3 linked regions of the Macaca fascicularis genome follow. The main gene of each other region encodes a partner of the protein of the gene in region 3 in a complex. Links are inferred from orthologs where the notes say so. Each region holds a gene or a part of one and is shown on either strand. Other genes may lie near its edges.

What was found. Proteins that work in one complex are often made in the same cells at the same time.
Region 1: SF3A3 (region 3) and SF3B3 share a complex: the UniProt entries of both Homo sapiens proteins name them as parts of the 17S U2 SnRNP complex. The link is inferred for Macaca fascicularis from reciprocal best matches to the Homo sapiens genes SF3A3 and SF3B3.
Region 2: SF3A3 (region 3) and SF3B4 share a complex: the UniProt entries of both Homo sapiens proteins name them as parts of the 17S U2 SnRNP complex. The link is inferred for Macaca fascicularis from reciprocal best matches to the Homo sapiens genes SF3A3 and SF3B4.

The regions. Positions count from the first base shown.
Region 1 is NC_088394.1:69,773,516-69,778,868, forward strand, and holds part of SF3B3 (splicing factor 3B subunit 3), read right to left. Parts: intron 3,944-5,353; coding exon 3,769-3,943; intron 2,725-3,768; coding exon 2,519-2,724; intron 2,422-2,518; coding exon 2,265-2,421; intron 414-2,264; coding exon 288-413; intron 1-287. UniProt on the Homo sapiens protein: Component of the 17S U2 SnRNP complex of the spliceosome, a large ribonucleoprotein complex that removes introns from transcribed pre-mRNAs.
Region 2 is NC_088375.1:111,355,217-111,359,195, reverse strand, and holds the end of SF3B4 (splicing factor 3B subunit 4), read right to left. Parts: coding exon 3,822-3,979; intron 2,051-3,821; coding exon 1,877-2,050; intron 1,766-1,876; coding exon 1,578-1,765; 3' UTR 1,352-1,577; downstream 1-1,351. UniProt on the Homo sapiens protein: Component of the 17S U2 SnRNP complex of the spliceosome, a large ribonucleoprotein complex that removes introns from transcribed pre-mRNAs.
Region 3 is NC_088375.1:196,935,399-196,940,751, reverse strand, and holds part of SF3A3 (splicing factor 3A subunit 3), read right to left. Parts: intron 3,912-5,353; coding exon 3,773-3,911; intron 2,634-3,772; coding exon 2,565-2,633; intron 2,156-2,564; coding exon 2,088-2,155; intron 1,925-2,087; coding exon 1,817-1,924; intron 1-1,816. UniProt on the Homo sapiens protein: Component of the 17S U2 SnRNP complex of the spliceosome, a large ribonucleoprotein complex that removes introns from transcribed pre-mRNAs.

The sequences.
Region 1 (5,353 bases), on a different chromosome or scaffold from region 3:
GTGCATCTATAATCCCAGCTACGTGGGAAGCTGAGGCAGGAGAATCACTTGAACCCGGGAGGTGGAGGTTGCAGTGAGCCGAGATTGCACCACTGCACTCCAGCCTGGGCAACAGGGCGAGACTCCATCTCGGAAAAAAAAAAAAAGGGGCATAATTCTGAAGCTGGAATTGGGGTAACACTAGTCCTAATAAAGGTAAGATTTTAAAACTCAATGCCCACCACCCCACCAATGCCCCCGCCCTTGACATGTGAGCTAGATCTCAGCACCAACGCCAGCACACTTACCTTATTCTCGCATTTTCGGAGTAACTTCTTCTTTCCCAGGTCATAGACACGCAACAGCTTCCCCACACCAATCAACACCCTCCCTTGGAATGGGGCAATGGCAGCAGGGACCTCTTCCACCGGAGTCTATAGAGGAAAAGCACGTAATACAGCTATTACAAATGCCAGCCAGACACAGGCCCCACCTCTCCGCCTAGAAATGTCTTCTTTCACAGGAGCCTATCATTAAGAAACACACCAGTGATCTTATTTTGCTAATGAATCAGCGTGTTGGGGTGAACAGGTCCCACATGCTGCATTCACCCAGCAGAGGGATCAATGCTACAAGTGACAAGAAGTTCTGGTACCTGATGACAGCTGCCCAGAGCCTGTGCTTGGTTTAACTGGCCTCATGAAATAATAGTGAAGCCTTAGTAGCTAAGAAGTGACTGTAATTTGTGGAGGGACAGGAAAGAAATGCTAGTGGAAAATGACATTTTTTTTTTTTTTTTGGAGACAGGATCTCACTGTCGCTCAAGCTGGAGGGCTGTGGCAGGCGTAATCACGGCTCACTATAGCCTGGACTTCCTGGGCTCAGGTGATCCTCCCACCTCAGCCTCCCGAGTAGCTGGGACTACAGGCATGTGCCATCACGCCCAACTAATTATCTGTATTTTCTGTAGAAACTGAGTTTCACCACATTGTCCAGGCTGGTCTCAAACTCTTGGGCTCAAGTGATCTGCTCGACTCAGACTCCCAAAATGCTGGGATTACAAGCGTGAGCCACTGCACCCAGCCTAGTGACATCTCAGTTGTAAAGGAGAGACAAATTTTATACGCAAAAGGGTCTATGAAGTATTTCTTAGAGGATACTCCCCTTATGGTAGGGTTGAAGGAATCCACATGCTGTCAGTGTGGAGGAGAATATTATTTTTATTTTAATAATTATGGTAAAACAGACATAACATAAAGTTTACCATCTTAATCCTTTTTTTTTTGAGACAGAGTCTCACTCTGTCGCCCAGGCTGGAGTGCAGTGGCGCAATCTCAGCACAGTACAACCTCTGCCTCCCAGGTTCAAGCAATTCTCCTGCCTTAACCTCTGGAGTAGCTGGGGTTACAGGCGCCCACCACCATGCCTGGCTGATTTTTTATTTTTAATAGAGATGGGATTTCACCACATTGACCAGACTGGTCTTGAACCCCTGACCTCAGGTGATCCGCCCACCTCGGCCTTCCAAAGTGCTGGGATTACAGGAATGAGTCACCATGCCCAGTCATTTTTAAGTATACACTTCAGTGGCATTAAGCACATTTACTGTTGTGTAACTATCATCTCCAGCTTTTTTTTCATCTTCCCAAACTGAAACTCTGTACCCATTAAACAGTAACTTCCCAGAGAAGGCAGATGGAAAAGAACACTAAATCTTTTTTTTTTTTTTTTTTGACAGTCTCACTGTGCCAACCAGGCTAGAGTGCAATGGTACAATCTCAGCTCACTGCAACCTCCGCCTCCCGGGTTCAAGTGATTCTCCTGCCTCAGCCTCCCAAGTAGATGGGATAACAGGTACATGCCACCATGCCTGGCTGATTTTTATATTTTTAGTAGAGACGGGCTTTCATCATGTTGGTCGGGCGGGTCCCAAAGTGCTGGGATTACAGGTGTGAGCCACCGCACACAGCCAGAATATTAATTATTTAAACTGCTGAATTTTGGTCACAAATTGTTGCCCACTTATTAAAACAGTAAGAAAGGGACTGATTCAATGTGCATCCATCTCCCCATTATGGGTGGTTAGCACAAAGCCTTACTGTGGAATGCACAGGCACAAGAGCATCACCGCAGCTAGAAGGCCCCAGGATTTTCCATGTGCTGGTAAGAGATGGATTGGAATCAAGGAGCTGGTCCCCAAAAGACCTGACCCATAACATAAGCAAAAGTAAGAGAATTCAATAGGACTTAAGATCTAGGAGAACCACTCACTGGCTGATTCCTACCTTGTGCAAAAACTCCAGTTTTTCCCCATTGTTCACAAGCTTGTAAGTATAGACGAAGCCCCCTGCCACAGATCGGGGGTTCAGTATCAGGTCCTTGGCCACACCCACCAGCACATACCAGTCTTCACCAGTGTTGGAGAACCTGCACACAGCCACACTACACACAGAGTAAGAGGCAAGAGTAAGGCCTTCGTCAAAACCCAGAGAGCTCCTGTTCCAGGCTACCAAACCCTGAACTGTCCTGGGCTCCTTACCTAAAAGCTGCCTCATTCTGTTCCAGCTGGACAAGGTCCAGTGTGTTCCCCTGAATGGGATTCATCACTCGGATCACAGAGGCCCACTGCCCATTGCCAGCCTTGGGAGCTCCAAAGATAGATTCAGGGAGGTTTTCATTGAGGAATGCTGCTGCCATCTCTGCGGCCAGCTCCCGCTCATCCTCCCCTGCTGCTTCCACCATTTCCTAAACCCAAAAAACCAAACAACTGAGTTGGCATGTTCAGAGGTAGGGGCTGGCTGAGAAGAGGATAGGTAGCAAGAACACTCCAAGGGGTTTTTTCTTTTTTTTTTTTTTTGAGAAGGAGTCTCGCTCTGTTGCCCAGGCTGGAGTGCAGTGGCCGGATCTCAGCTCACTGCAAGCTCCGCCTCCCGGGTTCACGCCATTCTCCTGCCTCAGCCTCCCGTGTAGCTGGGACTACAGGTGCCCGCCACCTCACCCAGATAGGTTTTTTTTTGTATTTTTTAGTAGAGATGGGTTTTCACCCGTGTTAGCCAGGATGGTCTCGATCTCTTGACCTCGTGATCCGCCCATCTCGGCCTCCCAAAGTGCTGGGATTACAGGCTTGAGCCACCGCGCCCGGCCAGAAACTCCATTTTTTAATCCAACCCATCTGATTTCCCCTACTAAGACTACTCTGTCTCCACTCTTTAAGGCTGGATACAGTTCTATGTGGTTTAGCTATTTGGTTTTTGCTAGGCAATGAGTTCTAGAAAGAGCTGGTATTGTGGAGAACATGAAAGCTGTCTCCTTTGGGCCCAAATCCAGGAAATACAGTCTATTTTGGAAGCTCAAAGACTGGAGAATTCTGTTTCAGAGAGGGAACTTAATTGTGAATAAATGGAGGTCAGAGTATAGTCCTGGGTTACAAGAAAGGCTCTAACATGAAGTATTTTGGGGCAAAGGCCTCTGCTTAAAGAAGCTGAAAAGAGCCTAGATCTTTAAAAACAAAGAATATAACAACAATTACAGGAGTTTAAACTTTTGACAGAGTCTCATGTCCAGAGTGCCACTGGTATGCAGTGGAGTGTGCCAACATACCAGGAGTGCACCAACACACCAGGCTATCTTTCAAAATTTTTAATAGAGGTGCGGTTTTGCTATGTTGCCCAGGCCGGTCTCAAACTAGCAATCCTCCCATCTCAGCCTCCAAAAGTGCTGAGCAGTTTAAACTTTTCAACATAATTTCACAAATCTTTTAACAGAACCCCTGAACGTTAGTCTCATTACCTCTGCCATCTGCTGCTTTCTCTGAGCTTTTGTGGCCTCAGTGTAGGCATTGTGGTCCGTTTCAATGATAATAAGGTTGTTACTCTCAGGGTGGATGACAAATTTCCTGGGTGTGTACTGCAGTGGGAAGGCTACTTGATTGAAGACAGCACCGAGCTTCTCTAATGCCAAAATGCTATGACAGAAAAGCAAGGCAGTTACTTAATACTCACTCAGGACCTAGAAATTGGTGGTGAAATAGGCTTTGAGCAGTCAGTAAACACATCAATCCCTGAAGCTCTAACGCTGGCATTAGGCAACATTAAACAACAGCCTCCTAATCTAGAAAACTGCACTGCAGACAGAGAGATCCGGGAAGGGCCTTCCCATTTGGCAACACCCTACCACAATTCATGGCAATTCTAGTTCTCACCAATGAAACACAAACGATTGTCAAGATTTTTTTTTAATCACTCTAATGATAATAAAGCGCCCAATCCCAAATTTGTTGTGAACACTGCAATTACCTGAACATATATGGTATCTGTAGTGACTGTGCTTCATAAAATAAAGTGGATGCCTTTGTGAATAAAAATCACCTCAGTTTTGGAAAACTTTGACAATGCAAGAGACAGCAAATAGGGGACCTACAAATTTCTGTCAAATTGAACAGAGATGCACACATAAGCCAAACTATGTGCAAAACGGGCAGAACCCAGGTACCCTAAAAAATATAGTTACCTGATCTCTAATGATGGAGTTTTATTTGTAGTTTATTCTCTACATTAAAAAAGATACGAGCTGGGCACAGTGGCTCACGACTGTAATCTCAGCACTTTGGGAGGCCGAAGCGGGCAGATCACCTAAGGCTAGGAGTTCAAGACCAGCCTGGGCAACATGGGGAAACACCAACTCTATTGAAAATACCCAAAAAAAAGCTGAGTATGGTGGCACGCACCTGTAGTTCCAGCTACTTGGGGGGCTGAGGTGGGAGAATCTCTTGAGTTCAGGAGCTCAAGACCAGCCTGGGCACCAAGGTAAAATCCTGTCTCTATTTAAAAAACCACAAAAATTAGCCGGGCATGATGGCATGCGCTTATAGTCCCACCAGGTACTTGGGAGGTTGAGGCAGAAATAGCTTGAGTCCAGGAAGTTGGGGCTGCAGGGAGCCATGATCACACCACTGCACTCCAACCTGTACAACAGAGCAAGACTTTGTCTCAAAAAAATAAATTTAAAAATAAAAATAATTTTAAAAATGAACTGCCCCCAAGCACTATGCTTTTATGTCTCAGTCATCTTCCCTGATTTAGTTTTGGGGGGAAGTAAGTTCTGCTCCTAGGAAAGCCTAAAAATCTGTAGGGATCATCTAAATCTATAGGAATTCAGGAGGTAGGGACCACAGATGAGGATACAAGGCTGGCTTAAAAGACAAGGGGAACACTGACAGGCAGGTATGCATGTGGGTGAAGCGTTCCAGCACAGGCAGAGATTTAAAAAATATTAAGTGGTGTAGAGGAGTGCAGGGAGATCAATTCTGCTAGAGCAGAAGATAAATACAAAGATGACAGAAAGAAAAAGGACAATGACCATGAAAAGACGCTGC
Region 2 (3,979 bases), about 86 Mb from region 3:
ACGTGGGGGAAAAAAAGGCTATTGGATTTGGTCTACTGAAAAGTCTTTAAACTCAGATTAAATGTGAAAATCAAGTTTGGAAGGACTGAGAATGAGAAAAAAATTGAAATACAAACTCCTTATGAGATGACTGTTTACAGACATCTGTAGGAACAGAACAAAATGGAACATTTACTGTCTCCATTTACTCATTTTAACTTTGTTTTGTATTATGTAAGACATCTATATTGTTCCAAATGAAAAACACATTAACACAGTATACTGAGAGAATCCAACTTCCCTCAATATCCCCTCCCTCACCAGTGTTATCAATTTCCATTAGTATTTGGTTTACCCTTTTTTTTTTTTTTGAGTTGGAGTCTCGCTCTGTCGCCCAGGCTGGAATGCAATGGCACGATCTCAGCTCACTGCAGCCTCCAACTCCCAGATTCAAGCGATTCTCCTGCCTCAGCCTCCTGAGTAGCTGGTTTACCCATTTTTAAAAACGTTAAGTAAATAGAAAATATATATGCCACCCTTAGAGAAGGTAGCACACTATACACATTATTTTTCTTCACTTGGAGATCTCTCCACAGCAGTATGTAGAGATCATCCCCATTCCTTTTTACAGCTGCACAGTACTCTGTTGCATGAATTTATCAGTTTATTCAACCCGTCCCTTTACTGATGGAGATGTGAGTTGTTTCCAATCTACTGCCATTATAACGGTGCTGCAATAAATTGCTTAGTGCATGTTACTTCATTTTTGCCAGACATCTCCAGGTACATCTGTTCTCACTTTAAAACAATAATCTGGCTGGGCGAGGTGACTCACATCTGTAATCCCAGCCCTTTGGGAGGCTGAGGCAGAGGGATCGCTTGAACCCAGGAGTTCAAAACCAGTCTGGGCAACATGGCAAAACCTCACCTCTACAAAAAATACAAAAATTAGCTGGGTGTGATGGCATACACCTGTGATCCCAGCTACTTGGGAGGCTTTGGTGGGAGAATCACCTGAGCCTGGGAGGTTGGGGGTGCAGTGAGCTGTGATCATGCCACCGCACTCCAGCCTAGGCAACAGAGCAAGACCATGTCTCCAAAAAAAAAAAGAAAAAAGAAAAAAACACGATGATCCTACACTATAGATATTGGGTCCCCCTATCTTCCAAACTAGAAGATAAGCTCTATGTAAGGAAACAATTACTCTAGTGCACAGCAGAGCTCAGCAACTGCAACAGTACATTACAGAACAAGCCTTTAAAATGTGGAGTGAGCACCCTTGCTCCTACTCCTACCTTACCATTCTTTTCATGATACTCTGACATCTCTTCTTAAAGAAAAAAGTTACTGTTGTCAAGGAAAACACCACAAATAAACAAGCAGTTTAGTTTTATTTTCTCTGTGCATTTGCAAAATACTCAGGACCAACATAAAAAAGAAATACCTCCTGTGGAAAAAATTACATTAAAAAGGGGAATGGGCTGGGGGTGCTAAAAGGGATTAGTACCTTAGCCCCAAGGAGCTACAGCATCTCTGATTGGTCCAAGGAATAGAAAAGATATTGGGAAGATGTAACAGGAGGAAGGAAAAATGTGAATTTACTGAGGGAGAGGGCCTCGAAGTGGACCTCGAGGGGGAACTGGTGGCCGGGGAGTGGGTCTGGGTGGAGGGAGAGGCCCCCGCTGGTAGCCATAGGGTGGGGGTCGTGGAGGGCCAGTGTATCCATGCGGGGGCATCAGTGGAGGAGGTCCACGCATACCATGCGGAGGCATAGGACCTGGGTGACCTGCAAGGAGTAAAAGAAAAGTTAGTAAGGGCACGGGACAAGGGATGTGCCTACAGGAAGCTGTAAGAACATGATAGGTGCAGATGAGGGAGGTGGCTAGAGACGACTTACCCATGGGAGATCCGAATGGAGGCCCTCGGGGGGGCATACCCATTGGAGGAGGTCCAGGATGAGGCATTCCAGGTGGTGGTCGGGGTGGTGGCTGCCCCCCAGAGCCTGGGGGTCCAGCGTGGGGATGTCCTAAGCCATGAGGGCCATGGTGTGCCAGCTGCATCTGAGACATCCCTATGAAAATAAAACAGACACAAGAAGAAAAGAGACAAAGAGAAGGCAAAGAAAATAGAGAAAAGAACAAAATTAGAAAGAAAGTGACATCAGAAAGAGAACTATACAGAAAAAAGGGTACAGAAAATAAGGCTGGCTGGGCACAGTGGCTCATGCCAATAATCCCAGCACTTCGGGAGGCCTAAGTGGATCACTTGAGCCCAGGAGTTCAAGACCAGCCTGGGCAACACAGTGAGAACCCATCTCTATCAAAAAATACTTTTAATTAGCCAGGCATGGTGGTGTGTGCCTGTAGTCCCAGGTACTCAGGAGGCTGAGATGGGAGGATCAAGGCTACAATAAGCCAAAACTACACTACTGCACTCCAGCCTGAGTGAAAGAGTGAGACCCCATCACCAAACAAACAAACAAACAAACAAAAAAAGAAGAGTGGTAAAAAGTGCTCCCTATCCTTGACCCTATTCCAACAGCACAAACCAACCAATTACTCAATCAACTCCTTACGCTCGCTTCTCCCATGATTTAGGTACTGTAATAGTAATGCTGAAGTATATAACAAGTGGAGTAATGACTCTGTTGATAGGATTTGAGAAAGTAGCAGAGAACATACTGTCTAAGCCAAGATCTAATTCTAAAGGATGAATGCTTCAGGAGGGTAAGATCATGGGAAGAAAGCATCCCAAGCAGAAAGATTACAGGTGTGTCAAACAGCACAATATATTCCAGGAAATGCCAGTTAACTCAGTAATCAGGAGCAAAATGCAGTTACAGAAATGAGGGGCAGGGGCCAGCTCATAAAGAGCTGTGAATGCTATGGTAATGAGTTTGAGTTTTACTCTGTAGGTAAAAGGGAGCAACAGAGTCATTTTGAGCAAGTGTGTGCACATCTGTGTTTTAAAAAACCTACTCTGTGAAAGTAGATCGAAGTTAGGGAAAACTGGAGTCCAAGTGGAAGGAGATTACTACAATAAATTAAGTGTTAAATAATGAGGGAATGAGAGACTGAACTAGGGCACTGGCCATGGGGAGAGATGCCACTGATATTAAATAAGACTTGGTATTAAGAGTGGGGTGATAGGGAGCAGTCAAACATCACTCTCAGATTCATGAATTAAGCACCTGAAAAAAAAGACTGCTAGAGAAAGAATGGGTTTGAAGGAGAGGGACAGAAAAATGACGCTATCTATTAAGCAGCAGCATTAAAGCATTAAGGATCCGGAATGTCAACAGCTATGGACTAGAGATACAGATCTAGGAGGCATCAGTATATGCCCAATTAAAACTATAGATATATGCAGAAAAGAGAAACAAGCACAAAAATCTAGGCACAAGTAGACAAGAGTCTATCATGGTAGCTGAGATTAAGGAGTCAGAGGGGTGGAGGATCTAGAAAAGCAAAAGCAAAAAGAGACGAGAATTTCAAACAGGAGGACACGACTAGTTTCAAGTACATCAGAGGTCAAACTAGATAAGGAGCAGACGTGTCCCTGAGATTTGGCAATTAGGTCACCACTTTGAGCTGGAGTCAGAGAAGAGAATGGAACTAAAGGTTAAAGAAATAAAAACCAGCAAGTATAGTCTTCTTGTCAGAAAAACTTAAGAAATGGATACAGGGAGGTGGATGTTAGAGAGTATTTTGTATGTTTTTATAATAGAATGTCTGAAGGAAAGGAAACTCTGAAACTGTTACTGTTGAGGAACAAAGGGCAGCAGGGTGAGAGGTAACAGAGATGCTCTACCAAGCTCTTCCCTCCCAACAAAGCACACCTACCTGGATGGGGCATCCCACCTGGTGGGAATGGGTGAGGATGTGAGTGTCCATGACCAGGATGTCCTGCCCCTGGGGTTCCTGCCGATGGGGGGCCATGTCCTGCAGCTCCAGGAGGCATAGGTGGTGGGGGCATGGCTGGGGGTATCCCAGGTGGGAGG
Region 3 (5,353 bases):
GCCATCATTATAATCTACAAAGGAAATGTGGTATGTAAGAGCAAGCTCTGCAGCAGGTAGACCTAGGCCCAAATCCTGACTCTGCTACTTAGAACTATGAGAGTGGACACATTCCATAACTTTTCTGAGTCCTTATCTGCAAAAACTCAGGATAACAACTAATTTTCTGGGTTGTTGTGAGAATTAGAAAAAAAAGTACATTAAGAAAATACTGGGCCAGACACGGTGGCTCATGCCTGTAATCCCAGCATTTTGGGAGGATGAGGCTGGCGATCACTTGACGTTGGGAGTTTGTGACTAGCCTCACCAACACGGTGAAACCCTCTCTACTAAAAATACAAAAATTAGCTAGGCGCGGTAGCTCACGCCTGTAATCCCACCACTTTGGGAGGCTGAGGCGGTTGGATCACGTGAGGTCAGGAGTTCATGACCAGCCTGGCCAACATGGTGAAACCCCGTCTCTACTAAAAATACAAAAACTAGCCAGGCATGGTGGCGCATGTTGGTAATCCCACCTACTTGGAAGAGTGAGGCAAGAGAATCGCTTGAACCAGGGAGGTGGAGGTTGCAGCGAGCTGAGATTGCGCCACTGCACTCCAACCTGGGCGACAAAGCAAGACTCTGTCTCAAACAAAAAAACAAAAAACACACAAAAATTAGCCAGTGTGGTGTTGCGTATCTGTAATCCCAGCTACTCGGGAGGCTGAGGCAAGAGAATCGCTTGAACCCAGAAGGCAGAGGTTGCAGTGAGCCGAGATTGTGCCACTGCACTCCAGCCTGGGCAACAGAGCGAGACTCCATCTCAAAAAGAAAAAAAAAAAACCACCCTGGGTCAGGCGCAGTGGCTCACACCTATAATCCCAGCACTTTGGGAGGCCAAGGCGGGTGGATCACTTAAGCTCAGGAGCTGCAGACCAGCCTGGCCAACATGATGAACCCCCATCTCTACTAACAATACAAAAAATCAGCCATATGTGGTGGTGTGTACCTGTAGTCCCAGCTACTCAGGAGGCTGAGGCAGGAAAATCCTTTGAACCCAGGAGGTGGAGGTTCCAGCCAGTAAGCTGAGATTGCACCACTGCACTCCAGTTTGGGTGACAGAGTGAGACTCTGTCTCAAAAAAAAAAAAAAAAAAAAAGAAAATACCTTGTCTAGGCCGGGCGCGGTGGCTCAAGCCTGTAATCCCAGCACTTTGGGAGGCCGAGACGGGTGGATCACGAGGTCAGGAGATCGAGACCATCCTGGCGAACACGGTGAAACCCCATCTCTACTAAAAAATACAAAAAACTAGCCGGGCGAGGTGGCGGGCGCCTGTAGTCCCAGCTACTCGGGAGGCTGAGGCACGAGAATGGCGTAAACCCGGGAGGCGGAGCTTGCAGTGAGCTGAGATCCGGCCACTGCACTCCAGCCTGGGCGACAGAGTGAGACTCTGTCTCAAAAAAAAAAAAAAAAAAAAAAGAAAATACCTTGTCTAAGTATGTAGCTCAAGAATTAGATTCAACTTTACCAAAAATAAGCTTAGAAAAATAGTTCTTGAACCTATTTAGCCTTTTAGCCTCTATAACCTATTAAAGGTGCCAAGAACACGGTTTCAAACTTAGAAACTTGATGTGCTCTCAATCAGATGAATACAGACAGTCCTTTGTTTATATTAACAGTGATAGTATTCTCTATTAGCAAAGAGAAAGAGCAGACTGGATCTCTGTCGACCAATAACGGGGATAAAGCAGGCTTTAAAGTCTCCACTGTGGTTAAAAATTCGGCATGGGAATAACATTTAAAAGCCACAAGCAGCAGTGCTACCCCAGCCACTCACCGCTTGGTGCCCTTTGACTTGGGATTTTTGGCAAACAAAGAGGTATCAAGTGACTCCAGGGACTTTCCTTTGGTGCTGAAGAGTCTCTGGGCTCGCTCTTCTAGGGTCCTAAGGAGACAGGATGGCAAAGGATTTCAGGGTTACTTTACCACAGAGGCTCGCTTGTTTTTGCAGTGTGGAGCAACAGAAAAAAAATGGAATTAGAGCTACTTAGAAGACTGTGCAAACACACAGCAAATTGAATAGTTTTGATAGAAAAACCATTCCTTACCCGCCACATTTCAAGCCTAAAGCTAAGAGAGCAGATTTCAATCTGTCCAAACCCAGAGAGGCCAACTCCTGTACAAAGAAGAGAAAAATTACAATATTACATTAACAGATTTTTGGGAAACCCCAAATGCAGGCCAGAGGGTGGGTGTTCCTGAGGCTGTGGCAGGACCACACATTTCATAGCCAATCTGACAGTAAGTCTAAACTCTCCAGAGGACTGAATCTGTAATTATCTTCAGACTTAACCATACTGGTAGTGTTCCATTTACTTTACTACAGCTTAATGTAGTTAGAATGATTATTTCAGTTTCCCATGTAGTAATTTTTTTCTTTTTACTTTGCTACTTTCTTTGTAGATGCTTGATCCCAAGAAATAGTGCCTTATCACAACACAACCATGGTATTAAAGACAGCAGAGCAGTCTTTAAAGATAGAAAAATAGACAGGAAGAACAGTACTACTGCTGAAGGAAACATACCTCCCAGGAGGAGAATGCAGAGAGGTCAAGATGGGCTCCAGCATGGGTCAGAGCACTGCTTGTCTCTTTCTGGAAAGAACAATATGGTATTTATTAAGATCCAGGTTTAGGCCAGGCGTGCACTGCTTGTCTCTTTCTGGAAAGAACAATATGGTATTTATTAAGATCCAGGTTTAGGCCAGGCGTGGTGGCTCACACCTGTAATCTCAGCACTTTGGGAGGTCTAGATGGGTGAATTGCTTGAGTTCAAGAGTTAGAGACCAGTCAGAGCAACATGGTGAAATCCCATCTCTACAAAAAAAACACATGAATTAGCTGGGCATGGTGGCATGTGCCTGTGGTCCCAGCTACTCAGGAGTCCAAGGCAGGAAGATCTCTTAAGCCCAGGAAGTTGAGGCTGCAGCAGTGAGGTATGATCATGCCACTACACTCCAGACTAGAAGCCAGATGGAGACTTTGTCTCCCAAAAAACAAAACAAAGCAAAACAAAACAAACAAACAAACCACCAGGTTTAGGATGAAGGTAAGGTTGGTCCACATTCTCTCCCTGGAGAGTTCAGGAAAAACCCATGTTTATCCCCAGAAGTGAGAATGTAGATTCCTAACATATGATCTGATAGGCTCTTGGTTGGCAGGAACCACGTAACAGTAATGATGTGATTGGTGAAAATCTGGGCACAGTCAAAGGCAAGTGGACCCTGACAGTCTTGCTCCAAAGTACACACAAAAAAACCTCACATACGGCCGGGTGCGGTGGCTCATGCCTGTAATCCCAGCACTTTGGGAGGCTGAAGTGGGCAGATCACCTGAGCTCAGGAGTTTGAGACCAGTCTGACAAACATGGAGAAACCCCGTCTCCACTAAAAACACAAAATTAGCTGGGTGTGGTAGCGGGTGCCTGTAATACCAGCTACTCGAGAGGCTGAGGCAGGAGAATTGCTTGACGCAGGAGGTGGAGGTTGAGGTGAGCCGAGATCCTGCCATTGTACTCCAGCCTGGGCAACAAGAGCGAAACTCCATCTCCAAAAAAAAGAAAAAGAAAAACAAACAAACAAAAAAACATAGCATACTTGGCAGGGAATACCTCATTGTCACAAGTGATACCAAGGAATTGATACCTAATGCCCTAAAGTGGAAGCTCAAGATAAAGGAAAATAATTACTTCAATTCCTTGGCATGTCCATCATTCACACCCCACTGAAGCTCACCGGCCATCCAGGAAAGGTTCCATTCTCCCATTTCTTCTCAAACTCAGCCTGAATCTTCCCAAAAAGTTCATTCTGATCTTGGAGAGGCTTCACTCTATCTGTGTAGTCCTGAAGGTACTCGAGCAGCATCTCTAGGTATCTACAGAGGAACATACAATGCAGAGAAAGCAAAAAGGGTTTCTATTTTTGCTATCTTGTTATTCCCTGTAGAATATATAGTACTTATAATTCTAGTAATGCTATCTTTTTAATGCTTTTTTTTTGTGAAACGGACTTTCGTTCTTCTTGCCCAGGCTGGAGTGCAACGGCACAATCTCAGCTCACCACAACCTCCCGGGTTCAAGTGATTTTCCTGCCTCAGCCTCCCGAGTAGCTGGGATTACAGGCATGCGCCACCACGCCCGGCTAATTTTTTTTTTTTTTTTTTTTGAGACGGAGTCTCGCTCTGTTGCCCAGGCTGGAATGCAGTGGCACAATCTCGGCTCACTGCAAGCTCCGCCTCCCAGGTGCACGCCATTCTCCTGCCTCAGTCTTCCAAGTAGCTAGGACTACAGGCGCCCGCCACCACGCCCGGCTAATTTTTTTGTATTTTTAGTAGAGATGGGGTTTCACCGTGTTAGCCAGATGGTCTCGATCTCCTGATCTCGTGATCCGCCCGCCTCAGCCTCCCAAAGTGCTGGGATTACAGGTGTGAGCCACCGTGCCCCGCTAATTTTGCATTTTTTTTTTTTTTTGAGACGGAGTCCCTCAGTCGCCCAAGCTGGAGTGCAGTGGCGCGATCTCAGCTCACTGCAAGCTCCACCTCCCGGGTTCACGCCATTCTCCTGCCTCAGCCTCCCAAGTAGCTGGGACCACAGGTGCCTGCCACCACGCCTGGCTAATTTTTTGCATTTTTAGTAGGGATGGGGTTTCACCGTGTTAGCCAGGGACGGTCTCGATCTCCTGACTTTGTGATCTGCCCACCTCAGCCTCCCAAAGTGTTGGGATTACAGGCGTGAACCACCACGCCCGGCCTAATTTTGTATTTTTAATAGAGACAGTGTTTCTCCACATTGGTCAGGCTGGTCGCGAACTCCTGACCTCAGGTGATCTGCCTGTCTTGGCCTCCCAAAGTGCTGGGATTACAGGTGTGAGCCACCGTGCCCAGCCAATATTCATTTTTAAATGAACTTAGAATGGACATTTTTCCCAACATGTCATTTTGATTCTGACCTTTCCCACCTCCTTTTATTCTCATAAAATGATGCTAAATACTAAGGTCTTAATTACCTCTCAAAATACAAGATTTCATTAAAAAGAAAATGAGAAAAAGAGGGGAAATTAAAAAATCACTAATCAGGGGAGTAATTAACAAAAACATAAATTTTTCACTTATACATCACACCTAAGCATCTCACTTCAGTCACAATCTGAGAAAGTCTAATTTTTTTCCCATAAAACTCCGAAAACACAGAAGTCCCAGAGTGGGAGAGTTCCTTATACAATGAGACAAAATTAAGAACAGTATGGGCATATAATGGAAGATGTGCCCACAGACACACTTTTGTTCACATCCAGAGCATCGCAAAGGTTTTAAAACCA